2 linked regions of the Ovis aries genome follow. The protein of the gene in region 1 purifies or fractionates together with the protein of each later gene. This does not show direct contact. Links are inferred from orthologs where the notes say so. Each region holds a gene or a part of one and is shown on either strand. Other genes may lie near its edges.

The links.
Region 2: the proteins of TMEM259 (region 1) and TMUB1 purify together in Homo sapiens (affinity purification with mass spectrometry; 3 studies listed by BioGRID, with this or other methods). This does not show direct contact. The link is inferred for Ovis aries from reciprocal best matches to the Homo sapiens genes TMEM259 and TMUB1.

Annotation. Positions count from the first base shown.
Region 1 is NC_056058.1:41,200,971-41,214,964, reverse strand, and holds the start of TMEM259 (membralin), read left to right. Parts: upstream 1-8,439; 5' UTR 8,440-8,575; coding exon 8,576-8,824; intron 8,825-11,733; coding exon 11,734-12,009; intron 12,010-12,443; coding exon 12,444-12,543; intron 12,544-12,654; coding exon 12,655-12,765; intron 12,766-13,011; coding exon 13,012-13,134; intron 13,135-13,219; coding exon 13,220-13,320; intron 13,321-13,408; coding exon 13,409-13,466; intron 13,467-13,553; coding exon 13,554-13,637; intron 13,638-13,725; coding exon 13,726-13,858; intron 13,859-13,930; coding exon 13,931-13,994. Other genes in the region: CNN2 (calponin-2), read right to left, coding at 3,442-3,504. UniProt on the Homo sapiens protein: May have a role in the ERAD pathway required for clearance of misfolded proteins in the endoplasmic reticulum (ER). Promotes survival of motor neurons, probably by protecting against ER stress.
Region 2 is NC_056057.1:115,269,460-115,285,258, reverse strand, and holds TMUB1 (transmembrane and ubiquitin-like domain-containing protein 1), read left to right. Parts: upstream 1-8,644; 5' UTR 8,645-9,485; coding exon 9,486-10,012; intron 10,013-10,278; coding exon 10,279-10,630; 3' UTR 10,631-11,093; downstream 11,094-15,799. Other genes in the region: FASTK (fas-activated serine/threonine kinase), read left to right, coding at 11,499-11,580, 11,794-11,847, 12,393-12,818, 13,493-13,672, 13,780-13,919, 14,414-14,627, 14,733-14,892, 15,107-15,198 and 3 more. UniProt on the Homo sapiens protein: Involved in sterol-regulated ubiquitination and degradation of HMG-CoA reductase HMGCR. Involved in positive regulation of AMPA-selective glutamate receptor GRIA2 recycling to the cell surface.

The sequences.
Region 1 (13,994 bases):
AAGTGATGCTCCTGTGTGTGGAGGGACCACACTGTGCTTATCCATTAACCTGCTGATGGATATTTAGGTCACTTCCATCTTTTGGCTCTTGTGAGTCAAGCTGCTATAAACACCGATTTATAAATTTTATTTGAAAACCTGTTTTCAGTTCTTTGGGGTACATACCAGGGAGTAGAAGTGTTTGGTCACATGATAATTCTCCTTTAATTTGGAACCACTGAACCTTTGTCTGCTCCTTGAACTGGCCACACTAGTGGCTACCTCAGGGCCTTTGCATATGCTGCCACTTAGGACTCATGTTTGCACAAGTCCCTCCTTTCAATCCAGTTGTAGCTAGAAGGTTAACCCCTTGGAAAGGTCTTTCCTGACCACCTGGCTATGATGACCCTCTGCATCCCCCACCCCCAGTCCTTATTATCTTCTTTTTAAAACAATATTTATTTGGCTTGGCTGTTGCGGTATACACGATCTTTAGTTGTGGCATGCGGACTCTGAAGTTTCACCTTGTGCAATCTAGTTCCCTGACCAGGAACTGAACCCAGGCCTCCTGCCCTGGGAGTGTGGAGTCCTAGTCACAGGACCACCAGGGAAGCCCCTGTTTTATCTTTCTAGCTTTTTTTACCTTTTGGGGTATGATCTATCTTCTAGCTGATGGTCCAAGCTCATGACAAGCGACAAGAGATAACCCAACTCAGGCTCTCTCTCAGTAAGGAGGCTCATCCTCCCCCATCAACACACTGCCCAAAGATACAGCACTGGCTGCCCCCAGGGCAGCATCCCACAGCATCCAGGGAGGCCTAGGACAGGGTGTGTGTGTACAGCCCCAGGGCAGCTCCCTGGAGGGGTGGTAAAAACCTGAGGACCTGGCTGCCCAGCTGGGTGGGCTTCTGCCCAGACCCCGTGCGTGTGTGCTCAGTCGCTTCAGTTGTGTCCAACTCTTTGCGACCCCATGAACCATAGCCCACCAGGCTCCTCTGTCCACGGGATTCTCCAGGCAAGAATACTGGAGTGCTCTCCTCTAGGGGATCTTCCCAACCCAGAGATCGAACCTGCATCTTTTATGTCTCTTGCATTGGCAGGCAGGTTCTTTACCACTTGCACCACCTGGGAAGCCCCAACCCCAGACCCCTCTTCACCTCTACTCACCCTGTGCCCACCGCGCACTCTCCTCCACACCCCCTAGGGACAAGGACTCAGAGTTGCCCTTGCAGCTCCCACCTCAATGACCATGAACAGGTTTCACCTCATGCCTCTGTCTTCCCAGCTATGTTTGAATGGTCTTCCTAAGGCTTTCCAGACCTGGGCTCCACTTCCTGCTTCCTGCATATAAACCCCTAGACATGGGATCAGGCTTGAGCTGCTCAGAGTACAGGGGAGACAAAGGCGGGAGGCTGGCCTGTGAACCTGATCTGTTTAGCCCACTCCCTCCTCGGATCTCCTCCCTCTCCTGTCTCTGGTTCCCACGCCCAGCAGAAGGGTGGTGGGGGAGGAGGGGGGGTTATTAGGATCACTGAACTTGAAGCAGGCAGGCTGGTCTGGACCTCTGGCCTGCCTGCCCAGCTGGGCCCCATCCTCATCCTCGACAGCTCACTGGGGCTGGGGCCAGGGAGGGTCCCACGCAGGGGTGCCTGGCGGGGCCCCACCCGCTAGGCCGCCTTCCACCCTGCTGCCCAGCTGGCCTTCAGCGCATTCCTCCCCACCGCAAACTGCCAGGAATGCAGCCGCTGCCTCCCTGCTAAATCAGGACCAGCTGTTCCCAGCGGTCCAGACCCCCCAGTCAGCCAGAGATCTCAAGGGTATGCACTGGACCTCAGCCTGCCTGTATGCCATCCAGCAGTGGGACTGAAGCCTGGGGTAGGGGGCAGGGGGTCTTCCTCCTCTCAAAGTGGACGGTCTAGAAACCACAGGAAGCTGGTTTCCAATTCAGGTGGGTCCCTGAGGTGACTCCGGTGTGGGGGTGGGGGCCCCGCCCATTCTCCAGGCCTGCAGACTGAGGGCTGGTTACAAGGAGCTTCTGACCTCATCCTCCACAGGGCAGGTAACGACCTGCCTCCATCCCACTCCATCGCAGGAAGCTGCCCCCACCCCGCTGGGGTGCTGTGCCCTCAACCCACTTCCTGCTGCTTCGGGGGAGATGCCTGGCTGCCCAGGAGGACTGCTGGCCATCGGACACTACCTATGCCAGGTCTGGGTTCGAGTCCTGACCCTGCCTCTGATCTGCTAGGTGGGTCTGGGCCGTCTGAGCGATGTCTCTGAACCCCATGTGCTAAGGAGGAATCTTAGAGGGTCTTGGCTGGGTGGGGACTATCAACACTCTGCACCCACCAAGGCATTACTGCTGGAGTGTGGAATTGTGTGTTCAAGGGAGAATCGATGGGGAGCTTGCCAGGTGACCATGCTCGGACCCTGGGCTTCCCAAATGGGCTGGAGGGAGGTTCCTAGTAGCTCACAGAGTTGAGATGTGTAAATTCTCCCTCTGGTCTCTTGACCTAGTAGTGACCTGGGGGCCAGCAGGGCTGTGTCCCCAGTGTGCCCAGGCAGGCTCCTCCCTGGGGCCACATTCCCAGGTGCCTGGTGACAGTGTGTGCCTAGGGGGTGGACAAAGATGACAAACTCCCCTCAAGCTGGAAAACCCTTGTGTGTTGGGCTTAGGACCTCTCCCCCTGCCCTCCTGGGCAGAGATCATTCTATGCTCCTGTTTCCTTGGATGCGCTGAACCTGCTGTGTTACCTTGCAGAAGTCTCTGCCCTCTTGGGCTGGAACCAAAAGCACTTTCTGAAAAAGAAGTGTGCCCCACCCCCCCACGCCCTAGCCCGCATTTTCAAGTTACAAAACCCACATGCTAGGGTCACATTCAGGGGACTGGTGGACCTCTTCGCTATTTCTTTAAGTGTGTCAGATGGTGATAAAGAGAATGGGGAAGGTAGGCCCTCTCGATTCCAACTCCCCTCACCCACCCAGTGCCCCACCTCCCAGGTGTAAGAAGTCGGTAAATTCTTTTGGGGGGCCACACCCTTCTCAAAAACACCTGGCCCGCCCCCTTCCTTCCCCGAAGCTTTAAGTGGTCCAAAAGCAGAAGTGGGGGAGGGGATGAAAAGGGGCCGCTGGGGTTCCCTCAGGACCTTCTCAGGCCTTGAAGCGCTAGAGGGGCCCAGGGCTGGGGGGTTCAGAGCGGTGGGCAGAGGGCTTCAGATGAGTAGAGGCTGAGGGAGCAGGGCTGGGTAAGGGGTTGGACCCAACCGCTCCTAGATGTTGGGGGGTGGGGTGCCAGAGCACAGACCTCACTGTTTCCCCAGAGTTTAGGAAGCATCGGAGGCACCCTCGGAACTTCGGGGGAGGAGGGCCGCCCCCGATGCCCAGGGAGGCCAGCGGGGCGCCCGTTCTGCAACCGCGGAGGGTGTGACGGGCTGGGCTGGCAGAGAGGGCGCTCCCCTCACTCACCCGGTTCTTGACCTCGGCCGAGAGCCCGTACGAAGGCCCCTTGTTGAACTGCGTGGAGCTCATGGCTGGCGGGAGCGGCGCCGCGGGACGGGACGGACGGACCGACGGCCGGGCTGGCGGGCGAGCGGACAGGGGACGCGGACCCAGGGCCCCGCCCCCACCGCTGATTGGCGCGGGGCGCACATGTCCTTATATGGCTGCGCCGCGCCGGATTCCTGAGGCCTCGGGCTTCCTGAGCCCCTGAACCGCCCGACCCCCGCCCCGCCCCCTCGGAACCCCCGGGAGACTGAGGCCGGGAGGGACGGGTCCCCGCACCACGGAGACCTGGCACCCTCTCCTACTCAATGCTGGGAGCCCCCGGGGGCCTCTCCCCATGCTTTCTGGGCCTCAACTAACCTTTCTACATAATGATGGGAGGGGGAAAATGGTTGAATGAGACCCTAATTCCCTTTGGACACTAATGCGGGGAAGAGGGACCCTCATCTGATGCTTAGAGGCGCCTCCCAGTCTAGGTCCGCTTCTGGAAACCCTCCTAGCTGGGTGGTAGGCAAGGGAACTAGGACAGGCTCTTCAGCGGAGGGGGCCACTGGCGCTGGGACTTTGATGGAAGAGTAGGAGTTTGCCAGTCCAAAGGGTATTGTTTGTCCTGGCAGAACAAAAAGTGCCAAGACTTGGAGGGACCATCAGTGGTTGAAAGTGTGCAGAGATCAATCAGATAGGTTGGGGAAGTGGGGGATGAGAGGAGACCCTAGATTCTGGGTTGGGGAATGGTGGGAATGGGGAGGAGATGGAACAGCAGAGAGTTGAAATCAGGAGATATCTTGGGGGTAGAGTTGAGGACGCCAAGGGAACTAAGCCAGGCACACACTTGGCACTCAATACATGCTGCCTGCTTGTACAGATAAATCAATAAATTAATAAAGGGATAAATTTCACTTTTTCAGTAACATTCATTCGCACAACTATTTACTTCTTCATCAAAAGCTCAATGACGGGGCCACTGGGCCAATCCCTTGCTAGGCTATACTGGCTCCCTCCTGGCTCTGGCCCTGCCCATCCCTGAGAAAACAGACCCTGGCATAGACACTCCCGCCCCATGTCAGCAGGTACAGGACAGAGAGAGGTGTCTGGGGTGGAGGAACCCCAGGAGGGAGTGGGTGCTCCCCTGAAGGGGTAAAGGAAAGAGGCATGTAAGAGAGGGCATGGGAAGTGGGGTTTTGAAGCATAAGTAGGAGTTTGAAATATTTGACAAGTGATCTGTGAGGGCTTAGAGATTACTCACCCTGCCCTTCCCAGGAACACCCCTCCCCAGTACCCCACTTTCTCGATGTCTATTGACTCTTTCCCTGACTATGCATCTCCTATTCTATGTGAAGGCTCCTTTCTTCAGGGCTCGAGTCCTAGCTGGGTGATCTTGGGTGAGTCCCTTCCCATCTGGATCTCAGTTTCATTATCTGTGAAATAGGGACCAGTGGTCAACCAGACAGTGCGGCTGAGTATGGGAACAGGGTGGTTTCTCAGTGTCTAGGTGGGGAGTTGTTTGGGTGGGGGCTGTACTGGTGGACTCCTTGCAGATTCCACAGGGAGCAGGACCAGGGCACTGTGGGGGCTGGTAGTAGTGGGAAGGAGGCTGGAGCCAGCCTTGTGGGCTATAGCCCATGGGATAGCAAGGAGTCAGACACAACTGAATGACTGAGAACACACTATATTCTTAGCCTCCTGAAACCCAGAAATTCAGATCAGATATCTGAGAATTCAAAACCCTGAGGTTCCAAAAGCTTAGAATATTATAATTTGAGAAACTCCCCCAGGACCTGAGGCTTACAGAACTATGTGGTTCTGTGTAATCTTACAACCTCAGTGGGCCCCACCTGGGTTCAAATTCCCGGTCAGCTGAGATAAGGGCATGTCAAAATCTCAGGAATTTTGGCTCAGCCTCGGAACCTGGCCAAGAGGCCTGGGGCCTCTGCAGTTGCCCTACAGCCTTGAACGCTGGCGCCCATCTCTCCATCCAGGACTGACCCTGGGGACACTGTGGGGGTAAGGAGGGCTGTGGAGTGATGCAGACTCACTGAGGACAGATTCAGGTACTCTGGGAAGGGGGCCACGGCTGGAGGACTTGGAGTTGTAGGAAACCCTGGAGCCTCAGCCTTGGGTGCTGGGCCCCAGGGTCTGGGTGGGTGGGCACAGGGGCTGCAGGTGCGGTGAGGGCCTTCTGGGCTTTGCATAAGACCCCGGGGATCCTATGTGCCAAATGATGCAGTAACAAGAAAACAATGATAGTCACAGTAAAATGACAAGCCTGCTAACTCAGGTCAGCATCTCCCTGCCCACAATCCGCCAGGCTCCCTATCACCCCTCAACAAAGGTGTCCTCCAGGTCCCCAGGTCTCCCTAGCTCATTGTGTTCCAGAGGCATGGGGCTTCTCCTCGCTCTGCCTCCAATAATCAGCCACAGGCTTGCCTCAGAGCTTCCACCTGGCTTGTTCACTGTCTGCCTTCTAGAACCTTCTCAGTAAGCCGTAACCAGGGCTCCCAGCCCCAGTGCCACTCACACATCCCAGACAGGTCCCAACTGACACTCACAGTGTTCTGTGAGATCCAGCCATCTCCTGAAGTCCCCAACAGAAGATGAACCCAAACCAAAAAAAGCAGAAGCCACCACCACGTTGTAAAACAGTTATCCTCCAATTAAAAAAGAATAAAATAAAGTAAAATAAAATCGCCGACTGTCCCCAGAAGTGCGGAGCCTGGCCCTTCTCCGTATCTTTGTATTAGATTTAGAACTGTTTCCCTCCATTTTCCTTTTTTGTGACAGTAACTTTCATTTGCTCCCCTGGGTCGAGTGTCTCTCTAACGTGGAAGTAAGTGCTAGATGGGGATTGCCTGTACAGAAGTCACTTGCCACACGGCCCTACTTCAATACAAATTACCTCAATGAAAATAAAGTTTAAAATCCCATTCCTCAGCTGCACTGACCACATTTCCAGAACTTAGGAGTCACATATGGCTAACTCATTAGACCTCGCTGCACATTTCAGGGACCCACAGCACCCCCACTCACCCCCACTGAGTGGCTGGGTTTTCTCCCCAGATCAAGGGTACATCGACTGGCCTCACCATTATAAAAGAGGAGCTTGTGTTCTCCTTTTGTGACCAGTAAATGATCTGGGGGTGACCTGTAACAATATCAAAAATGTGCATTGGTTGAGCAGCCACTGTATGCTAGGCTCCCATACAGGGCATTCTCTATGAAAGAGGAACAGATGGGATGACCTTAGCTTCCTGTCCACCTCAAGGAAGTGGGGCTCACCGGATTATGAAGCCAGGCGGGTAGGTCTGGAAAGTTCTCTGAGGCTCTAGAACAGCTGAAAAGTCTCTTCCCCGCCATGCCTACCTCACACCCTGGTTTCTCAGAGGCCCTGACTGTCCCTTCTTATTGTTCCCTGGGTGTCCTTCCCCAACGTCTGTACTCAGGTGTCCTCTCCCACACCCAGCCTCTGGCTCCTCCTGCCCTTCGATGCTCCCTGCTGCAGCCCACCCATTCTTGCTTTGGAGCACAGGGTGGAAGTACTGTACTTGGCATACAGTAGGTGCTTAGTGAATGTTGGATTCTGTTACTACCATGGCTGCTAGGAGGTGCTCAGGCTTTTCAAAGATGAATGAATGAGCATGTCTGTAGTCCATATGTGGGCTCCCAGGTCTGGGACATCTCAAGTGGGCAACTGGTGGCAGTCAACAAGGAGGGCATGGTCAGGTATAGACCATCTGCGATCCCGCTTTAGTTGACAAAGGGCTGTCCGCTCAGCCGTCCTGGAAAGACTGGAACGGCGGGTCTGGCGCCCTAAGAGCCGGAGAGAGATGGGTGGTGCTGAGCGGCCCGCGTTCTCAAAAGGAAAACCTAGTCAGGATGAGACGGTTGGATGGCATCACCGACTCAGTGGACACGAGTTTGGGCAAATTTCTGGAGATTGTGAAGGAGAGGGAAGCCTGGCGTGCTGCAGTCCATGAGGTCGCAGAGTCAAACACGACTGAGCGAATGAACAACCAAAAGTCGGGAACGGACCGAAGGCTGGAAGGTTGGGCAAAAGCAGTTCACTTAGCCTCTTCTGGACCCCTAAAATCCCCCGGACCGCCACCAAGTGCAGACAGAGGGAGAGAGGTCCGTTAGTTCTTCCAGTCACCGACCTCCGCGAGATGGGGGTTCAGTTTAGTTCAGTCGCTCAGTGGTGTCTGACTCTTTGCGACCCCATGAATCGCCGCACGCCAGGCCTCCCTGTGTGTGCATCACCAACTCCCGGGGTTCACTCAGACTCACGTCCATCGAGTCAGTGATGCCATCGAGCCATCTCATCCTCTGTCGTCCCCTTCTCCTCCTGCCCCCAATCCCTCGCAGCATCAGAGTCTTTTCCAATGAGTCAACTCTTCGCATGAGGTGGCCAAAGTACTGGAGTTTCAGCTTTAGCATCATTCCTTCCAAAGAAATCCCAGGGCTGATCTTCAGAATGGGGAGGTGGTACTTAAGCTAGACCCTGCAACGTCACGGGCCTTTATGACGTCACGGCGCATCAGGTTAGTCTGCTTAGGGGAACAGCGGCCCCGGCCTAAAGAATTCCACACAGGTTTTCTGGGGACGTAATTTAAAGACCGCAAATCAAATCATTTTTCAGCCAGAACACTCTACTGTGAGCCTATTTTCAGTATAGTTTTCTAGAGTCCAAAGTAGAAAACAGCTCCAACAGTCGTATTTCCTTTCAGTATATTTTATCACTTCTAAACGCTTCAGATATTGACTAATTTTGACGCTCGAGTTGCAGCGGTGGAGGCTAGTAGGGGCAATAGGCGAAAGACCCGGGCCAGACGCAGCCCCGCCCCTCGGCGCTCGCGAGCCGGCTGAGACTCCAGAAGGCGGAGCAACCGCGGGCCGACCGCCGGCTTCCCAGCGTGCACCGCCAGCGCAAGGAGGCCGCTCTAGCCTTCGCGGCGACTCGCTGGCGTCAGCTGGGGTGCGGAGGCGGAAGATGGCGGCGGCGGCCGGGCGGCTGTAAGCAGCGCGGCGGCGGCGAAGCCTGCCGATGGCGGCCAGGAGGCGTCCTCGGGGAGCCGCGGGCCGTTAGGGTGCTACGCTGGGCGGCATGTCGGAGCACGCGGCACCCGGGGCCCCGGGGCCTGGGCCCAACGGCGGTGGTGGCGGTGGTGGTGGCGGCGGCGGCGGCGGCCCGGCCCCCGCGCGCGGGCCTCGCACCCCCAACCTCAACCCCAATCCTCTCATCAACGTGCGCGACCGGCTTTTCCACGCGCTCTTCTTCAAGATGGCTGTCACCTACTCGCGCCTCTTCCCGCCCGCCTTCCGTCGACTCTTCGAGTTTTTCGTGTTGCTCAAGGTGACCGCAGCCCCAACCCTTAACCCTAGCGGATGGACCCCCCCTACCCCTGAGTTTCGACCTCTGACTCCGCCCGGGACAGAGGCATAGACCCGGCGGGGCCGGTTGTGACCCTTTCCTTAAGCCTGCCACCCCCGCCACCCTTCCCAGAAACTTCCACCCGGCAAGGCCCTAACCTCCCCGAGTTAGTGGCCCCCTGATCCCGATTCCAGGAACTCACTCCGAGCCCCTCCAGGCCGCACCCCACCGCTGGCCTCGCCTTTCCCCGCGTCCCCACCTCGGGAGACCATAGCCCAGTCCCGCGACCCTCGACCCTGTCGCCTGGGATCTTCATCCCGGGATGACCCCGTCCCCACTACTGAGCCTGATCTCGCCGCGAACCGCATACCCGGGGATTCCGGGCCCAACGCCACTGCCGCCTCTTTGGACACACCCCCGGACCGCCCACCTGCACCGGAAGCTGCGCCCCACTTTTCTCTCCCCCTTTTTCTTGGGGCTGGCCTCCTGGAGCTCTTCTGCTCCAACTCAGATTCTACCCCTTCTGGGGGAAGGTGACCAGGCCGAGGTCACGTCACCAGCGTTTCTGGCAGAGCCCCAGCCAGCGGTGCCGCTGGTGGCTCGGTGAGGGGCGTCTCGCGGACCCGCCCCTCGTCCTCCCTTGGCTGTGCGGGCGGTTCGGCGGTTCCTGGAGGGCCGGCGCGGGTCCCTCCAAGGAGGGGTCTTAATCAGGGAGGGAGCCGCTGGGTGCCGGACCCCGGCTGTCTGGCGGGTCTGAGGAAATGGAGAAATGGCTGTTCTTGTTTGTGTCCTGTCCTGTCCTGGGGGGCCCCCTGGGTGGGGGCTGGGACCATGGTTGCCGACTTAGGAGGGAGCTTGAATTCCTTGTCCACAGAAAGGGGTCTGAAGCAGGTGGGGACGGGCCAGCGAGGTTGGGAGCCCTCAGCTCTTGGGGTTGGGTAGCAGGGGCGTGTGCAGGGCTGTCCTACAGACCTGGGAGTGGGTCCCCACTGAGCCTCTCAGGTCCTGAGCGGCAGCAGGTGTCCTCCCCGGGGGCCTGGACTCTGGAGTGTTCCTCAGTAGGGCTTCCCTTACCTGGTGCGTGGGAGCCATGAGCAGCTTGAGAGTGGGCAGAAGGCCGGGTGTGGGCGTGGTTGCCTCCTGGAAGAAAGTCCTGGCCTACCTGCACCCTCAGGAGGAGCCCGTGTCACCAGAGGGAGTGAGTGCCCTGTGTGAGGTGGGCCCCCACGGAGCTCAGCCTTCCTGAGAGTCCAGCCTGAGGCCTTGGCTTTGTCTTTCTGCTTGCTTCCCAATTGGGACCAAGGAGCAAGTCAGGGATTGGGCCAGCTGCACAGACAGGCTGCACATCCAGGCTGTGCCCCTGGTGTGGGGGCCCGTGGAATCAGGCCACCCTTAGCTCCCTACATCTTTTCTCTCCATGGCGCTGCGGCCAGAAGGCCCCCCTCAATTCTCAGGTCCCTCCCTGACCCCTGGTGCTTTTGGTTTCCCTCCTTTGCAAAGTGAAGGCTGAGCTAGTCAATCTGTGAGGCTGCCTGAGTTCCAGAAAGCTCCCTTCTTTGCTTTCCAGCTGCCTAGCTTCTGGACTCTTGTTGGAGATCAAGTTTCCCTCCCCACCTCACTTGGTCGCCTCTTCCTATGGCACCTGTTCTGCTCCCACCTGCAGAACTGGTTCCCCCCCTCCCTTGCTCCCTGCCACCACGTGCCCCCTGCCACCTTGTGCCAGTCTTTGGGACCAGAGATGAGTGACTGACCGGGAGGAATGGGGAAGAGGCAGCAGCTACCAGGGCAGGGTCCAAGTCAGAGCAGATGACCTCAGGCTGGGAGGAAGGAGGTGGGTGCAGGGATGGCGTGTGCAAAGGTCCTGGAGCTGGTGGGACAGCGTGGCCAGTGAGGTGGAGTGTTCAGTCACGGGGTACCAGAGGTTGGGGGCTAGAGTACCCAGGGCCTGTGATATGGCCAGGCCAGCTGCCAGGCAGAGGACAGAAAAGGCCTTGGATGGATTCCTGAAATGCTGAGAGGGATAAGGGGGCGGGGCCGCCTGGTGGGCGGGGCCGCCGGCTGTGTCTGCCGATAGGGTCTTAGGAGGCCGCTGTTTGCCAGCTTGTTCCAGGGAGGCTGTGGGGAACCAGGTCCAGCTCAGGGGCAGGCCTTGTCCAGTGGGGCGAGAGTCTTGGCCTGTCTCTAGGCACCCACCCAGCTGGTCAGGGTGATGGACCGTACCTGGGGTTTCAGTTCATGGTAGGGGGGGCTGTGAGGGGCGCTGGAAGGGACTCCAGGGTGACAGTGGGGACTTGGCCACTCTGAGGTCACGGGTACCCCATCTATCCATATGCCCCTCTCAGAACCTAGCTACCCTGCCTGGTGTTTCCTCCAGGTTTAACTCCTGGCTCCACCCCCTCCTGGCTGTGTGGCCTGTGCCTTGGTTTCCTGTCTGCAAACTGGAGATGATGGCAGGCATGTGCCTTGCAGAGACGAGCTCAGGCAGCCCCTGGCATCGTGCCACCTGCATGTCAGCACTTTCTGTGACGTCTCTGCATGTGGTGCAGTGTTGTCCTCATGGCCGAGGATGAATGGTGTCCTGGACATGGCTCCTGCTGGACACTGGGGCCCAGAGAACACAGCTGGGGCTATGGGTCAGCTCTGACTGCAGCCTGCTGCCACCGTAGGCCCCACGCTTTCCTGACTCCCGTCGTCAGCTCACAGGTCCCCATACACGTTGTGGAGAGGTGCTTGGGATTCCCAGAGACACTGAGCCTGTGGCCACATCTCTGGCCTCGGTGCAGGCTGGCCTGTGAGAGGCTCTACAGCTGTGGAGGCCTGTACTAGGAAGGGTCCTCATTTCGGGGGGCGGGTCCCAGGCAGCTCCCCGCTGACCGCTCCCTGCCCTGCAGGCCCTGTTCGTGCTCTTTGTTCTGGCCTACATCCACATCGTCTTCTCCCGATCACCTATCAACTGCCTGGAGCACGTGCGTGACAAGTGGCCCCGTGAGGGCATCCTGCGGGTAGAGGTGCAGCACAACTCGAGCCGCGCGCCCGTCTTCCTGCAGTTCTGCGATGGTGGCCATGGCAGCTTCCCCGGCCTGGCCGTGGAGCCAGATGGCCTGGAGCTAGAGGAGGACGAGGAGGAGGAGCTGACCATGGACATGTTCGGGAACAGCTCCATCAAGGTGAGCAGCCGGGACGTGGTTAGGGCTGCAGGGGACACTCCTGACCTGCTGGGCCGTTTCCCAGCTGTTTACTGAAGGCCTGGTTCTAGGGTGCTGAGGGCAGACAGGCTGAGAAGCAGGCTTTGGGCTCAGAGCCCTGAGGTGGTTCTGGCTATCCTTGGTGCTGTGGCTGCCCACAGGATGGGAAGCCTAGAGGGAGGGCTGTGCTCAGGTGGCCAGAGGTGGGTGTGGGTGGAGCGCTGGTACAGACCAGCAGGAGGCCCCATGTCGCTGATCCTGTCCCTCAGACCCTCACCCAGAAATCTCGGAGCTCAGTGTTGGAGTTAGGGCTTTCATGGGTCGGGGTACATCTCCTTCCATTGGAGGCGGGTAGAGACCTTCAGGCCAAGCCTTAGGTACCAAGGGCCTGCTGACCTCTGCTTCCCACTGTGCAGTTTGAGCTGGACATCGAGCCCAAGGTGTTCAAGCCACCAGGTGGCCCCGAGGCCTTAAATGACAGCCAGGAGTTCCCATTCCCTGAGACGCCCCCAAAAGGTACCACCACTCCCTGGGGCTACGTCCAGTGATGGAGGTGGGGGTGTGGTACAGTCCCCCCAGACCTCCCAGGAGAGGGCTCCTTTACTGACCAGCTGTCCCTGCATGCAGCCTGGCCGCAAGACGAGTACATCGTGGAGTACTCGCTGGAGTACGGCTTCCTGAGGTTGTCACAGGCCACACGCCAGCGGCTCAGCATCCCCGTCATGGTGGTCACACTGGGTGAGTGCCCCTGCCGAGCAGAGCAAGGCCCAGGGGAGGGACCTCCTTCCTCCTCAATCTTGGGTATCTTCCTCAGGGAGGGGTGACCCGGAAGCACTTGTGTCCAAGGTCTCAGGGTTGCCCTTGCTGCCCAATTGCAGGAAACTTCCCAGGGCTCCATTCCTCCACACGTGTCAGTCACAGCTCTGCCGGGCAGTGGAGTTCTGTGTCCCTGGACTAACATCGCTGTCCCGGTCCTGCCCACAGATCCCACGCGGGACCAGTGCTTTGGTGACCGTTTCAGCCGCCTGCTGCTGGCCGAGTTCCTGGGCTATGATGACATCCTCATGTCCAGCGTGAAGGGCCTGGCAGAGAATGAGGAGAACAAAGGTGCGGGGCGAAGGCGGGGCCTGCTTAGGTGGGGCTTGGGCTGGGGCGCTTGCTCACTGCCTCTTCCGCTCCACCCCTCATGCAGGCTTCCTGAGGAATGTGGTGTCTGGGGAGCACTACCGCTTTGTGAGCATGTGGATGGCCCGCACGTCCTACCTGGCTGCCTTCGTCATCATGGTCATCTTTGTGAGTGCCTCAAGCAGGGTGGGGAGGGGCAGGGTGGGGCTGGAGGAGCAGGGCAGCCATCCAAGGCCTCATGGTGGCCCACTTGCAGACCCTGAGTGTGTCCATGTTGCTGCGCTACTCTCACCACCAGATCTTCGTCTTCATTGGTGAGTATCCCCTCTGGCCACCTCCCCTGCCCCTCCCCCCTTCCGGGCGCCTCACCCGGTCTGCCCGCCCGGTGCCCTCTCCCGCAGTGGACCTGCTGCAGATGCTGGAGATGAACATGGCCATCGCCTTCCCCGCAGCGCCCCTGCTGACCGTCATCCTGGCCCTCGTGGGTGAGGACCCTGTGCCCCCACACCCTGCCCCCTTCCCTGGCATGCTGGCCACCCACCTCAACTGGGGGCTCCTGTCTCCCCCCACCAGGAATGGAGGCAATCATGTCTGAGTTCTTCAACGACACCACCACAGCCTTCTACATCATCCTCATCGTGTGGCTGGCTGACCAGTATGATGCCATCTGCTGCCACACCAACACCAGCAAGCGGCACTGGCTTCGGTGGGCACCGGGGGCCGTGTGGTCTGGGGTGGAGGCAGCTGGGTGGGCAGCACCTCACTGTTCCCCTTGCAGGTTCTTCTACCTGTACCACTTTGCCTTCTACGCCTACCACTATCGCTTCAATGGGCAGTACAGC
Region 2 (15,799 bases), on another chromosome or scaffold:
TGAGTGGATTCCTGGAACAAGGTGAGCTGTAAATGAATTTATACAGGATAAAACGTTCAAAACTCCTGCACCAGGGTCCTTCCCCTGTGGACTCAGTGCTCAGGCACGCAGACCAGCCTGCGGCTCCTTGAGCCCCATCCCTTGCTACCTTTGCACACCTGCTCCCCCTGCACGGAGCATCTCCCAGACCCCGTGCCTGGCACACACATTCAATTAAAGAAGTAAATGGTAGGGACTTCCCTGGCAGTCCAGTGGTTAAGACTCCAGCTTCCACTGCAGGCGGCGTGGGTTCGATCCCTGGTGAAGGAACCAAAGTCTCACATGTTTGGTACAGCCAAAAACAAATAAATGCATAAATAAATGGCAGAAGCAAGCTACGGTACATGCCAGCCATGGGTATGTTTAGGAACACGGACTGTCTTGCAAATCTGGCAGAGAGCTGGAACGCAGTGAAGGAGGACTAAATGGTTGGGGGTGGGGGGGCATCTCCAGGCTCCCCCCCACCGAGTTCCTGCAGGCTTGGGGTCTTGACAAGCCTTTCCCAGCCTCTCATCTTCGCCCTGCTTTTCTTAAAACTTGGGCTTTACTCTTGCCACTCCCAGGCCCCGCTCTGGGACCTGCTAAGGGCTGATCCATTCACCTTCAGTGTCCAGAGTGCTGGCTCTGCCCCGCCCTCCCCTCCTGCTCTCCGCAGTGCTAGATGCAACTGGGCCACATTGCAGGAGCTAATACACGTATCTGGAACAGATGCAGCTTTCCCTGGCCCCTGGCACCCACACCAATATCCTCTTTTTGAGAATTCCTAGAGCTCTTTAGTGCAAAGTCCTCAATAACCGGTCCCCCAAGAGGCATGCATTCCCCAAAGCAGCTAATTACCACAATGGCCCTGGGGATGTTACACACCCTGGGCCCCCATCCCAAACCCACCAAGTGAGATCTCTTGAAGGCAGCAAGCCCCGCGGGCTCGTGTTATCAGCAGGTTGGGGAATGCCTATCCCCAGGAGCAGGAGAAGGGAATCAGCTCAGGACAGAGCTTTTCTGTCTCCAGAATGGACCCAATGCTTCTCTCCACATCACAGGGCTCTTGCTGGGATCTGGTCACAGGAGAGGAAACAAGGGACAGAATCTACAGCTCTGGGGAGACCTGCAGCTGCAGAGGCTCTGACCGCCCTGCCCACAGTTCCGGGCCACCTTCTCACCTTAGCCTGGATTTGAACCAGGAACACCCGCACCTCTTTCTATCTGAGTCCCTTTAGAATGTTACCAAGCCCAGAGCCCATGGAGGTAGGCAGACAATGCCTCAGTGAGTAACAGGACAGCCATGTGCTGCCCCGACCAAGGAATTTCACTGCTTAAAAGCCCCTGGAAGAAGGCAGGCCTGGACCCAGCAGAGGCCAGGCTCCTCACTCTCTCCCTCTTCATGGTGGCCTCGCAGCTTGAGGACTGGGGCAATCCTGGGGGCCACTCCCCAAGCCAGCTCTCCAGCAGGACCACACTCCTGTGTCCCAGCTCACCAGCTGGAGGCTTCACTTTCCTGAAGTTTTATTTTACAATAGGGGTTTCCTTAGGTGGCTCAGATGGTAAAGAATCTGCCTCCAAGGCAGGAGACCCGCACTCCATCCCTGGGTCGGGAAGATCCCCTGGAGAAGGGAATGGCCACCTACTCCAGTATTCTGGCCTGGAGAATCCCATGGGCAGAGGAGCCTGGCAGGCAACAGTCCATGGGGTCACCAAGGGTCGGACATGACTGAGCGATGAGCCCTTTTTTGCACACTGTAGACAAGTTACATTGATAAAACATGCTTTTAAACTAAACTAAGTTAAAACATCTCAAAAAAAAAAAAAAAAACTTGCAGGAACACCAAGGGCCATAGGAACAAGTTAACCAGTTGACGAAAAGCTGCCCAGGACCACGGTCTGATTCCTGGCTGTGTGTCACCCCGGGGCAGACCTCTCTGAGTTCAGGGCTACTCAGGGACAAGCCTGCCTTTCCAGGCCACCCGCGGGGACCCCAAGGGCGGCCTTTCCCAACAGCTCATCCCAGCTCCCAGCTCACATGGCCCAGCACACCTGGGTCCCACGTGCCTAGGTTGTCCCCATCTGGACCTGGATCCTCTGAGGCCCTCTTTCTAGGACACGGGGCACACCATCACGTCCCTTACTCCTCCGAGCCTCAATGCCCCAACCAGGGCGGCGAGGGTGGCTCAGAGACTCCTCAGGCGGTGAGCTGTCTCCCCCTCCATCCTGGCTCTTGATGATACCCTCATACATTCCGTAAGGCCTAACAGTGGACAGGTTCTCTCTTTCCTTGCCCTTGGAGGGAAAAGGAACTCCCTCCCTCCAGATCCTGTCCTGAAACACAGGAAAGCTCAGAGTTCCTCTGCTTCTTCCTGCTCTGGCCACAGGGTTCAGAGGGGCTGAGAGAGGGCAGGAGGACAGGGTGCCACTGAGCCTTCTCAGTCCCAAAGGGACCCCTGACCACACCTCGCCGGTCACCTCCAGGGTTAGGATGAATGCCCTTCACCAAAGCACCACCGAGTGAGGCTTACTCCACACGAGGGAAATGTCATCCCTCGCCACTAAGAGGCTCACGTCTAGCAAACATAGGATCGGCCTCCCTGGTGATGGATGTGTTTATGTAACAGCCTCTCGACCCAGGTCTGCGGGGGCCCTGGCAGAGGGTTGAGGGGGGAGCTCGTCAGGCTCCTAGGGTGAGCAGGGAAACGCCCCGCCTGTGAAGCTGCCCCCCACCCCACCCTCCGCTGGGGAGGCAGGGATGCTGTTTGCAGGACAGCAGCAATATGGTTTGGCAGATGGCGAAAGGAAGGATATAGGGCAGAAATCGGAGAAGGAGTTTTCTGGGCTTTTTTTTTTTCTTTTTGATGCCTGCCTACAGTGGAAAAGCTAGGGCGACAGAAGTGGGAAAGCAGGGGTGAGGTGGAGAATCAAGATGGGTTCCAGGAGAGAGGTTGGCCAAAAAAAAGGGGGGGGGGACGGAGGAAAGAGGGAGGTGGCCTCGCCAAGAAAAAGCAGGGAAGTAGAGACTAGGAGAGCTGCGAGCGGATGTGTGAGGAGCAGCTGGGCCTGGTGACAATGAGACACCAGGTCCCAGAATCCGAGATGGTGACACGGAGCTTCCAGGCGTGGTAGACGGAACGCAGGGTACTTCCAAACCGCAGTGGGGAAGTTGGTCACGGGGGTGGGCGCTAGAGGGGGAAATTCTGCCTGTCGTGTTGGATTCAGGACGGGGGTGAACACCCAAGTGTGGCCCAAGAATGCTGGCTTGCACATCACAGAAGATGCTTGGCCAGAGACCTCCTGAGCTGGGGAGGGGGTGTGGGTGATTGCTCTTAAGGAATCGGAAGTTAGAGGTGGTGTCCAGCCGAGACCCTGCCTCTCCCCGCTCAGCCTGCCTTCCTCCACACCCCCCCCATGGCTGTCCCACCAAGCCTCTTCCCCCTCCAAAAGGGTCTGTGGGGGGCGGGGGGTGGGTGAGGGAGGCATCTGGGCACTGATGGAACTTACTTCCTCTGGGGGAAAGCGGGAAGCCACAGGGAATGGCGGCTCTCCTCTTCAGACTGGGGAGGAAAAATTGGTCATCTCCTCTCTTTCGGGGGCCCCTGGCTCACACATATGCCACCTCCTGGTCCCCAGCCACACCGATGATTCAGGCCATTTACTCAGATCCAAGCTAATGAGGTTTTTTTTTTTTTTTTTCCTGTCACCTAATTAGTTCACAGTGAACTCAGCCTGGAGAGGGATGAGCAAGGGCTGGGCAAGGGACAGCAAGAAGTCAGAGGGGACCATGTCGAGAACAGAGCGGAACTCCAGCTCTAAACGAGGTCCCCTACCCCCCTCCAAAAAAAGCCAACGACTCCTTCCTCAGCCATGGGGACCCCTAAAAGCAGACAGGGGTTTTTCAGGGGAAGGACACTCCACCCCAAGAGCCTCACACAAAGAAAGACGCCAGTGGGGCCTTCCTGTGAGACCCCAGTAGTGGACAGGCCCCTTCCCATCAACTCCAGGTCCTCAGCAAAAGGCCCTGCCCTTTCCCGGCATTTCTGAACCCACCACCTGCTGGGGGGCGACCGCATTCAAAGGGAAAGGAGCAGGAGGAGGAAGCAGATGGCCCAGGCCCAGGTCCATCTGCCCCACGGGCGCTCAAAGGTCACCATGCCGCCGAAGTGCGGGGTGCTGCCGATGCTGTCTGTCCCCACTACACCAGGGGTCCTGGCACATCTGCCAGCAGCGTGCCCCCACTTCCTCTGCCCCTCAGCTGCCAAGTGCAGGCCTGAGAGCCTGGAGAAAGGAGCGCTGGGTAACTAAGTGGCCCACGGTTCCAGTTTCCGACGCCTGGCACCCGAGTCCCTGGAGGTCGGTCAGCGCCCAGGAGCCCCCAGCTCGCCTCTGGAGCCGCTCCCTGGAGAGCAGCGGCGGGTGTCCGGCGCGCGTTGGACCCAGCGAAGGCGACACTGGCCCGGCAGAGGCCTCTCACGCGGCCCCCGGTGACCCAGCCCCGCGCCAGGCCTGCCCCGCTCCCGGCCGCCGCGGCGTGCGGGGTCTGCGTAGGCAGAGAGGGCCTCGTGGAGCGCCACCCTCCGGGGCCCGCGGGCGCCGGGCCCGGGAATGCTGCCATCCACTAACGGCAGGCTCCGATTCACCGCTGCGAGGCGGGCAGGGCCGGGGCGGCAGCTGAGACGCCTCTCCGGCAGCTGCCCCACCTCCTGGCCCGCCGAGGCCCTCCGCCGCGCCCACCCTCCTGGGCCATGCCCGACCAGACCGGGCCCCAGGGCCCCGGAACCTCCGCGGCTCCCAGCGCACCCGTCCCCGCAGCGACGCCACCCTCACAGCCTGGAGCCCGCAGATCAGAAAACGTGTCCCCCGGCACGGGACCTGCCCCCCAGCCCCAAAGTGTCGCCAGACGAGAAATGGCGAAGCCTGGCCGCCGGCTCTGCAGCGCCAGCGATCGGCAAACCGCGTGGCCCCGACCTCAGGCGCGCAAGGACCCCCCAGACCGGGAAAGCGTGGCCAGAACAGGCCGGCGAAGCCCCCGGCCGGGGCCGGAGAGGCCACCGCGCCCCGGCTCCCGCAGCCCCCGGCTCCGCTCACCCTCGATGGAGATGACGTGCTCCCGGATCTGATTCTGCAGCGCCAGGTCCTCGATGCGCTCGATCAGGTCGTAGATGGCGTAGATATTGGGATGCACGGACTCGAAGCGCTGGATCTCGGCCCGGATAGCCGCCGAGTTGGAGAGCGCGAACTGCTGGGGGGGCCCGCCGGCCAGCTGCTGCGAGGGGCCGCCGCCGCCCCCGGCCCCCGGCCCTGCGCCGCCGAACTGCCCGCCGCCCCCCGCGCCGCCGCCGCCGCTGCCTCCCGGCGCCGCCAGGCTCGGCTGCTGCTGCGGGCTCTGTCCCCCGCCCGCCTGGAAGTTCATGGCTCCGGAGCCGCGGGGCCCGAGGCGGGCCCGGCCGGGGCCCGGGGCGGCGCTGCGGCGGCGGCGGCGGCGGGCGGGCGCGCGGGGCTGGCGGGGCCCGGACTACGGAGCGGGCGGCGCGAGGCTAGTGCATGGGGCCGAGGGCTGGGGGCAGAGGCCAGGAGGCGCCGCCGCGCACGCTGGGGCCGCTGCTGCCGGGCGCTCCCCGGCGCCGCGATCCCGCTGCCTGGAAGCCGCCTCCAGCGGCAACAACAACGGGACCGGGAGCGCGCGGCCCGGGCCCTCCCCGCCGCGTCATGCGCACGCACCACCGCCCCCGCCGGCTCCGGCACACGCAGCCCGAGCCCCCCTCCCCGCCGCCCCCGCCCCTCCAGCGCGCGGGCCCCAACGCCCCCGCCCCTCTCTAGCTGGCTGGAGAAGCAGCCTCCACCCCCGAGGCGCGCGCTCGGCCCCGGCGGCCGGCCCCTCCCACCCAGCCTGGGCCCTTCCGCCTCCTTTCCAGCCCCCACCACACCCGCTGCGAGGGCCACTCGCTTGGAGGGGACAGCTGCCCTGCCCGCCTCGCGGCCCCAGCTGTCGCTTTCGCCCCCCTGCGCTGGTCTGGGTGGAGTGTCTGTTCTCCAGGCAGTGCCGGGATGCTGATGAACGCGGCTGGTGGGCCGAGGAGGGTCGCCGCCCCGGACACAATTGCGCCTCGCCTACACTGTCCTGCCATCCGTGCGGCAAAGGCTCCCCTGTCCCTGGGCCCCGAGGTCACCGCTAGAGACCACGCCAACTCAGGGTTCTTTCTCAGGCCCTCCCTGGACTTTCCATTGCCGGCTGCGGGCACCGAGGCTGGGAATCTGGGTCCCTGGTTTCTATTTCCAGTTCTTCCTGAGACCTTCATCTGTGGGGCCCTTGAAAATGACACTTGAAACAACAATGTCCTCGCTCTTATCTTCCAGCCTCTCCTAAAAGATCCCCACTGCCGGACTGGTGTAGGATTCAGTGAGTGCTGCTGGACCTCCCTGGAAAGGGGAAGGAAGAAAATAATCAAATATTATGCCTTCTTCCCCCACTCACCCCATTTAAGACACTCACCAGGGTCCACATGGTGGCCTCAGTTTTCCTTGTTTTCTCTCCTTTGTCCATCCTGTGTTCCTGTCCACTCCCAGGGCCAGGAAGCCCCCTTCAATGTCCTAGTTCCTCTGCATCCTCATTGCTAAAGCTGAATGCAGATTCACTAGCCACCCCTTTCCCCCCGGCTTTTCCTAAACTCCATAAGAGGTGGCTTGTGCAGAACCCAGGTCCCGGCCAATCAGCCTGCCAGGACTCTACCCCCATGTCCTCTGGCACAGTTGACAGATACTATCCTTTTTACATACACTTCCACTTCCAAAATACCCAAGCTGGGTATTTTCCCAGCGTAAAGTGGCCCACCATTTAAGCTACCCACACCACTTGACCCCAGTACCAACCTGGTCACCTTTCTAAGTATCTTGGACCTTCCAAAGAACCTAGTGCAAGCTAATCAACACCTTGGGGCTTCCCAAGCTCCAGAGAGGTGTGGGTCCTACCTACCTGCTTGTTCTGAAGAATGTCTTTCACCCTCTTTGGGTTTCATCTGAAAAAAAAATTAGTGGTTGAACAGATCACCTAGCCTAATATTCTGTAAGTCTAAAAGCAGTACCCAACATGTATTTTAGATGCTTAATTAGAACTGAAAGCAAGAAGTTGCAGTAGGTACCTCCCAGGAGAGATGCTGAAGGTAAAGAGCCCCTCAAAAGTGTTGCCCCAGCAGTTGGCACATGCCTGTTTTAGCACTAGTGGGCCAATTGTCTGTGTCCTCTATTAGTACATTAGCTACATGAGGGCAGGGATACAGTCTGATTCGCCATTGTATTCCCAGAGTCTGAACCAGCGCCCAGCACATGCTATACATTTAATGAATACTTCTAGAATAACTGGATAAATGGGAAGGAACTAGAGATAAGTTATTAATAGTTCTGTACGTTGTAAGTCTAAACTGACAGTCCCAAGGCAACATCTGGAGTGTTTGCTCCCATAAGTAGGCATAGGCTATCAGGGCACCAGGGTACATTACTTTTAATCAAGACTGACCTATAAAGTTTGTGGCTATAGGAGCCCAAAGGAAGGAGGGAAAACCTATAGAAATTAACTTGGCTCAGGCCACATGAGGCTCAACATCGCCTGTACAACAATACTCTTAAGGATCCAATTTCTGAGCCCAAATTTCAGGGGAGGAAGCGTTCTAAGTGAATAAATATCTACTGTGTGACAGATCCCCTCTACAGTTTTCACACTTCTTTAATAAAACACCAAACTTCGCCCATTACAATTGTCTTCTGAGGTAAGTTTTAAGAACGAAGAAATTTAGGTTCATATAGATTCAATAATGCACTCAAGGTCATATAGTTGATAAGCACAGGATAATGGGTCAGAATTTTTTGCCATGTTCCAAAGTCTATGCTCCTCACAGTCTTACAGGAGCCCAGTGGATGAGGAGCCAGGTAAATAAGGCAGCCCCAAGCCCCCCAGAGGATGAGATGGCTGGATGGCATCACCGACTCAATGGACATGAGTGGGTAAACTCCGGGAGTTGGTGATGGACAGGGAGACCTGGTGTGCTGCAGTCCATGGGGTCGCAGAGTCGGATACGACTGAGCGACTGAACTGAACTGAAGCCTCCCATGGCCAGCCCTGAAGACCCATCTCCTCAGCCAGCCTTGGGGGCAGGGAGGGGAGCGGGCAGCCCGTGGATACTGGGCTCTGGGCTGAAGAGTCAACGTGGAGGGTCCACTCTGACTTAAGAGTAGGCCGGCGTAGGGTCCACCTGCGCTCCCCAAAGACTGCATCATCAAACCCCGGGTGGGGCGGGGGGGTGATATGACAGACTTAGCCAGAAACCAGCTGACGTTGGTTTCTGATGTGATACACATCCTGGCTGCCCGCGGGTGAGGGAGAGGATCCTGCTGTCCCCTACTTCGCCCCGAACCTCTGCGGGCGAGCACAACCTCAAAGCCGCCGCCGCCAGCCCCTCAGCGATCTGCGGGGGCTCGGCGCAGGCGGCTGAACTCCGCACGTGGGTCCGCAGCGCAGAACGCTGGACTGCGCATCCTTCCAGACTACAAGACCCACAATGCTCCGGGCGGCGGCGGCGGGGAAGGAGGGGGTGCCTCCAGGTGTCTGCGACCTCGCCACCTCCCTCCCGGAAGTGCCCGAGGGTCCGCTATGGAGCTGGCGGAGCCTGGCGGTGAGTCCCTGCGCCGTGGCCGCATCACCCCGCTGCCCTAGCAGCTGGCCCGGCTGGCCCCGCCCCGGGATCTCCCGCGCCCGCCAGCCACTCGGGGTGTGGGGGCGGGCGGCGGGAAGATGCGAAGGGTGGTGGAGGATGGAGGTGGGGAGGGCAAAGTCTTGGGTTCCCGGGCGAGATCCGGGGTCTTGCAGCAGGCTGGGTTTGGAGAGGTTTCCCAGGGGAGGCGCGGGGTCGGGACGCCTTGGGTGGGGTTTGAGTGGACCAGGGGGGCCGAGTTGGGGTAGGGGTTAGGGTTGTGGGTGGGAACCCTCGGAGGTTCCAGTTTGCCAAAGGGAAGCAGTTTGACATTTGGCGTGGGGAAGCCTTGGGAAGCTGTCCTGTGCTGCGGGTGGGGGTTGGCTGAATGGTAAGGGGGCGTTGTGCGTGTGCGTAGAGACCTTTTTTCTACCCCCTTGGAGAAACTTTAGCGATGGAGCAGTATTAATAGATAGGCTTTGCCGTGAAATAGGCAAAGGAGTAGATAAACTTTGAGATGACCTAAATGGGGAGAATAGGTAAGCTTTGGGGTGGTTTGGTAGGGGCTGAATTTAAGGGAGAGGTTGCTTAGAAAGTCAAAGCTCTGACTTCGGAATAGGGTTTGGGTGAATTGTGGAACTGCTTAAAGACCTGAAATTTAGGTTACAGAAAATTAGGACTTGTGATTTGGTGTTGGGAAGGGGTATGTAGGGCAAGTTTGGGGTGGCCAGGTGTCAGAGCAGTGTATGTCCCAGGGTAGGGCTGGGATAACTGGGCGGAATGAGGACTGTGGGAGAGTTGTGGTTGGATGGGGTCAGGGGCCCCCTGAAGTTCAGAGGGCTCTTGGTGGGTGAGTCAGCCCCTCATGGGTTCTTTGTGCCTCTCCAGCCCGGTAGCGTGGCAGGCAAGGCAGGTGCCATGGCCCTGATCGAAGGGGTAGGTGATGAGGTGACCATCCTTTTCTCGGTGCTTGCCTGCCTTCTGGTGCTGGCTCTCGCCTGGGTCTCAACGCACACTGCCGAGGGCGCCGATCCACTGCCCCAGCCGTCAGGGACCCCAACACCAACGCAGCCCAGCGAAGCCATGGCGGTCATGGACAGCATCAGAGGGGAGGCCCCAGGAGCTGAGACCCCCGGCCTGAGACACCGAGGTCAGGTGGCACCACCAGAACCCGGAGTGGGGCTCGCAGCAACGCCGCCACCTCCGGACTCCCCCCAGGAGCCCCTCGTACTTCGGCTGAAATTCCTCAACGATTCTGAGCAGGTGGCCAGAGCCTGGCCCCACGACACCATTGGCTCCCTGAAAAGGTAAGCCGGGAGGATGACAGGAAGGAAGTGCTAAAGAGTAGGGCGGGGATGATCACAGTCCTAGAAGGACCAGCAGAGATCCCGGAGATCCTCTTATAGATGAGGAAACTGAGGCCCCTAGTCACACACTGTATTGCTCCCCTGAAGCAGAAGGGCCCCACACACACACACCGTGGAGGCCAGAGGTGAGGGTAGGAGAGTTGTTCCGGACCAGGGGCCAGGAGTGCCTGAGACTCGCTCTATTACCCAGGTCCCTCTCTCCTCAGGACCCAGTTTCCCGGCCGGGAACAGCACGTGCGACTCATCTACCAAGGGCAGCTACTAGGAGACGACACCCAGACCCTGGGCAGCCTTCACCTCCCTCCCAACTGTGTCCTCCACTGCCACGTGTCCACACGGGTGGGTCCCCCCCTCCCGCCCTGCCCACCGGGGTCCGAGCCAGGCCCCTCAGGGCTGGAAGTAGGCAGCCTGCTGCTGCCCCTGCTCCTCCTGCTGCTGCTTCTGCTATGGTACTGCCAGATCCAGTACCGGCCCTTCTTTCCCCTGACCGCCACTCTGGGTCTGGCCGGCTTCACCCTGCTCCTCAGCCTCCTGGCCTTTGCCATGTACCGCCCGTAGTGCCTCCACGGGCTCTTGGCCACGCCACCGGCCTCTCGGGACCTTGCTCGCCACGACAAGGTGGGAGCTGCTGTCTGCCCAGGCCCGCCTCTCCGACCTGCCTCTTCCCACTACCCTGGAGCCCAGCGCTGCGCGGCAGAGCACTCCGAGGGGCGGCGGAAGCCCCTCCCTGTGACCTTCATGGCTCTGGGCCACCTCCCGGGGCAGCTGGCCCTCAGCGCCCCCTGACAGTGGGCTACCCCAAGTCAGACAGCTGCTGTAGTTGCCTTGGCCCTGGACAGAGCGGGGCCACGCCCCTGGGCCCTTAAGGGCTCAGCCTGAGGACCTGGGCACCTCTTAGTCCCGGATCGCTCCTTGGCTGGTTTGGGGGCCCGAGGACTGGGAAGGGCTGGAGAAGGGGAGTCGGGATGGGTGGAGGGGGCTTTCTGGAACACGTGCAGATTAAATAACTGTGACGTTTTCACTCTTGGCCTAGTGTCTGCGTGTGTGGGTCGTGGAGGAGGGGGGCTACGGGGAGCTCTGCCCTACTGGGAGAAAAGGGGTGGGCCAGATGCTTCGCCCTACCCTGCCCTGCCCGCCCAGGCCAACCGCTGCTCACTCCCCTCTGCACCCCAATCTCATCCCCCAGCCCTTTGGCCCCGCCCCTACCCCGCCCCTACCCCGCCCCAGGCCTTTGGTCCCGCCCCAGCCCGGCGCCGCGCGCGCGCAGCTTCCCGGAAGCAGGGGGCGGGGCGCGCGGCGCCCTGGCGCGCGGGGCCTGCCGGGAGCCACGTCTTTGCTGGCGGAGGACCTACTTGGCGCGGCGATTGGCGTCCGGGCCGCGCTGTTCGGGGGCTGCCGGGAAGATGGAGGACTCGGTGGCCCCCTGATGAGGAGGCCGCGGGGGGAGCCCGGCTCCCGGGCCCCGAGACCGACCGAGGGAGCGACCTGCGCGGGGCCTGGGGAGTCATGTAGGGGTGGCGCCTGCGGGGCGGGCCGCGGGGAAGGGCGGCGGGAGTTGGTGTTGGCGACCGCGACCACGGTCTCCTGGCATTCCCCCCGGGCCGCGGGTGGGGGTGTGTGTGGGGGCCCCCCTGACACCGCCGACTCCGCGCCGTAGCGCAGGCCGCGCCCGCGGGCTCCACGGGCGCCCTCCGAGGTGGCCCTGCGTTCTCGTTTCACAGGCGAGAAGGCTTGGGCAGGGAGACCGAAGCCACTTGTCCAAGGTCACGCAGCTGGTAAGTGGGAGCGCCCAGCATGGAACCCAGGACCACGGAGCCCGCGCTCCACCCTCCGGTACCGCCGCCGCCTCCTGCGGGAGGGGGAGGTGGTCGGGGGTGGGGGGGAGCGTATCTGTCCGGCGAGCTGGGTTCCAGGCTGGGCGCGACCACTAACCAGATTCGGGACCTCGGGGCTTGCCTTAACCCCCTCGCCTCCCTGGGCCTTGGTCTCTCCACCTGTGAAATCGAGATAGTACCAGCCCCTGCCTGCCTCCTCACGGGCGTGTCAGAGGAGGATCGGAGGAGATGATGCATGTGGAATTGCTCTGTAAAAAATCCTCCGCGAGAACTCTGAAGGATTCCGATTGCTCTCGCAAAGGTTGGAAGGAGTCAGAGAGGGGCGGGTTGGGGAAGAGGACCAGAGCAGTCACAAAGAAGGGTGAAGAGAATACGGGTTGCTCTGTCCCCAGACTCCTCTGGATGGGGAGCGAGGTGAGGAACAGAGAGTTGGTCTTTCTCCCCTTTGGAGAATACCTCACTCCCTTTTTTGGGCCACCCCTCAGGGTCTCCAGCACCCAACTCCATGCTTCGAGTCCTGCTCTCTGCCCAGGCCTCCAGTGCTCGTCTGTCTGGCTTGCTGCTGCTCCCACCAGTACAGCCTTGCTGTCTGGGACCCAACAAATGGGGAGACCACCGGCCTCCTGGAGGAGGCCCCCATGCAGGCCCTGTGCAGGGATTGCAGCGGCTTCTGGAACAGGCGAGGAGCCCTGGGGAGCTGCTACGCTGGCTGGGGCAGAACCCCACCAAAGTGCGTGCCCACCACTACCCTGTGGCGCTTCGTCGTCTGAGCCAGCTCTTGGGGTCTCTGCCGCAGCCCCCTCCTGTGGAGCAGGCCACACTGCAGGACTTGAGTCAGCTCATCATCCGAAACTGCCCCTCCTTTGACATTCACACCATCCACGTGTGTCTGCACCTTGCAGCCTTACTGGGTGAGGACGGTGTCTATGGGTGGGTGGGTGTCAATGGAAGGATAGAGAAACTGTAGCAGACCCACCTGAGATCACTGACAGAACCCACCTCAAGCTTTGCCAGGAATGGCACACTTGCTGAGTGATGCCACACTTGCTGCTCCTCTGCGGTATCCACGATAGTCATCACGAGTCAAGCAGCATGAGTTGCAGCTTAGGTTAGGGTGCCACCCCCTTTTTTGTTGTTTAGTCGCTAAGTCGTGTCTGGCTCTTCTGCGATCCAATGAACCATAACCCACCAAGTCCTCAACCCAATACTGGAGTGGGTTGCCATTTCCTTCTCTAGGGGATCTTCCAGACCCAGGGATCGAACCTGTGCATTGCCAGGCAGATTCTTTACCACTGAGCCACCAGTTCTCTTCTAATACAGTGCCCTAGGGAGCCACTGCAATTGATCATCATTGGCAAGAGATGAGATCTTACTGCCTTCTTTGTATAAGGCCTTTCCCACAGACGGTTGTGATACCTTTATTCACGTGGTAGTTCCTATTTCTCTGGTGTTTCCGCGTGCTCTGTAGCAGATCTTCCAGCCCAGAAAACAGAGATGAGAAGGACTGAGGATTCACTAACTAAAACTGCAGGATTGCAGAGCAGAGCAGCTCCTTCCCTGCCTCCTTTGACCCTCTGCCTCTCAGGCTTCCCATCAGATGGGCCCCTGATGTGCGCCCTGGAGCAGGAGCGAAGGTTCCGCCTCCCTCCGAAGCCACCGCCCCCTCTGCCGCCTATCCTTCGAGGTGGGCAAAGGTTGGAAGCCGCTCTAAGCTGTCCCCGTTTCCAGCGGCGTCCTCAGCAGCACCTCATCCGCAGCCTGGCAGGTGTCAGAGCGGGGGACAGGTGATGGGGGGGTGGAGGCAGGCAGTATCTGCTGGAATCTCACCCAGGTCTGGCCTGAGGGTCCAGCGTGATAAGCTGTTCTTCACAGAGGCCAGGCCTGAGGAACTGACTCCCCACGTGATGGTGCTCCTAGCGCAGCACTTGGCCCGCCACCGGTTGAGGGAGCCCCAGCTTCTGGAAGCCATTGCCCACTTCCTGGTGGTTCAGGAAGCCCAGCTCAATAGCAAGGTGGGATTGCCTCAGCTTCCCAAGCTCCTCTCCTAGTGGCCCTCAGACACCCCAGCAGGCCTAGCTCCCACCCCCCTCATCTTGTCCACTTGATTGACTGCTGCTTCCTGCAGCAGACCACCTACCTACGCTCTCTGGCCTCTCCCCTGGGGTACCACCTTGGCTCAAACCCCCACTGGCTTGTCCAACTCCCCACCAGGTACACCTGGTTCTCTGCACTTCTCCAAACATCCTTAGCCACTGTCTTAGCTTGGTCGATCCCACTCCACCAAGTCTTCAGGGCCAGAACCCGCAGCCGTGTCTCTGCTTGTTTGGAGACTGACATGGGACTTGAGCAGCGCTTATGCTATTGAGCATCTGTGCTGTAGAGGGACTGTCCTGCCTTTCCAGTGACTGATGTCATAAGCTTGCAGGCCAAGTCTTCCTGAGGTTCAGCTTGTAAAGAAGACCAGAGAAACTTCCCCCTGGGTGATGGGCTGCTCTTTGCCCCACAGGTGGTACAGAAGTTGGTCCTGCCCTTTGGGCGGCTGAACTACGTGCCTCTGGAGCAGCAGTTTATGCCCTGCCTTGAGAGGATCCTGGCTCGGGAAGCAGGGGTGGCCCCCCTGGCAACTGTCAACATTTTGATGTCACTGTGTCAGCTGCGGTGCCTGCCCTTCCGAGCCCTGCACTTTGTCTTTTCCCCTGGTTTCATCAACCATGTCAGTGGTGCGCAGACTTGGGGGGCTGGCTGTGTCCTGGAGGGCCGGGGGGCCGGGGAAAGCAGGAGTGAGGGTCTGCATCCCAGTAAGCCTCGTCCTGCTTTCCCCACAGGCACCCCTCATGCCCTGATCGTGCGGCGCTACCTCTCCCTGCTAGACACGGCGGTGGAGCTGGAGCTCCCAGGATATCGGGGTGCCCGCCTTCCCCGAAGGCAGCAAGTGCCCATCTTCCCCCAGCCACTCATCACTGACCGCGCCCGCTGCAAGTACAGGTCGGTGGGCAGCTGGGGAGGGAAGGTGTCAGCTGGCAAGGAACATCCGGGTAGACAGGCCTGGGGGACCCTGAGCTGTCTATGCTGCTGTGCTCTGGGTCACCAGAAAGCTAAGCCCCAAAGGCCATTTCCCAGCCTGGGGGTGGAAGTAGGTGGGACCAAGCTAAAAAGAGTGCCCTGGGGCCCCTTCTGAGCCTGGCTCCTCTTTCCTCAGTCACAAGGACATAGTAGCAGAGGGGCTGCGCCAGCTGCTGGGGGAGGAGAAATACCGGCAGGACCTGACCGTGCCTCCAGGCTACAGCACAGGTGAGCTCCGGGTGGGCCGGCCAGCCCCCGGGAAGCAGAGCCTCCACCGGAAGCCAGTGGCTCTTTCTCTCCCGGCCCCGCAGACTTCCTGCTGTGTGTCAGCAGCTGCGGCTCGGTGCTGCCCGTGAGAGCCCAAGACCCCTTCCTGCCGTACCCTCCCAGGTCCTGTCCCCGTGCCACCCGGGACCCTGCCCAAAGGTAAGGCGGGAGCCTGGGAGAGCCTCCCCGGCCCCCGCGCATAGCGCCTGAGCCTCAGTCCCTTCCTCTCCAGGGTGGTGCTGATGCTGCGGGAGCGCTGGCACTTCTGTCGGGACGGCCGAGTGCTGCTGGGCTCCCGAGCCCTGCGGGAGCGGCACCTGGGCCTGATGGGCTATCAGCTTCTGCCGGTGAGGCCCCGCCCCCAGCCCCACCCTCTACCACCCGCCCCGCCTCGCCGCCCCCCCCCCCCCGCTCCCGCCACGCCCCCACTCTGACCGGGCTGCCAGCTCCCCAGCCCACAAGGATGACGAACTCTGTCCTCCGCCCCGCAGCTACCCTTTGAAGAACTGGAGTCCCAGAGAGGCCTGCCCCAGCTCAAGAGCTACCTGAGGCAGAAGCTCCA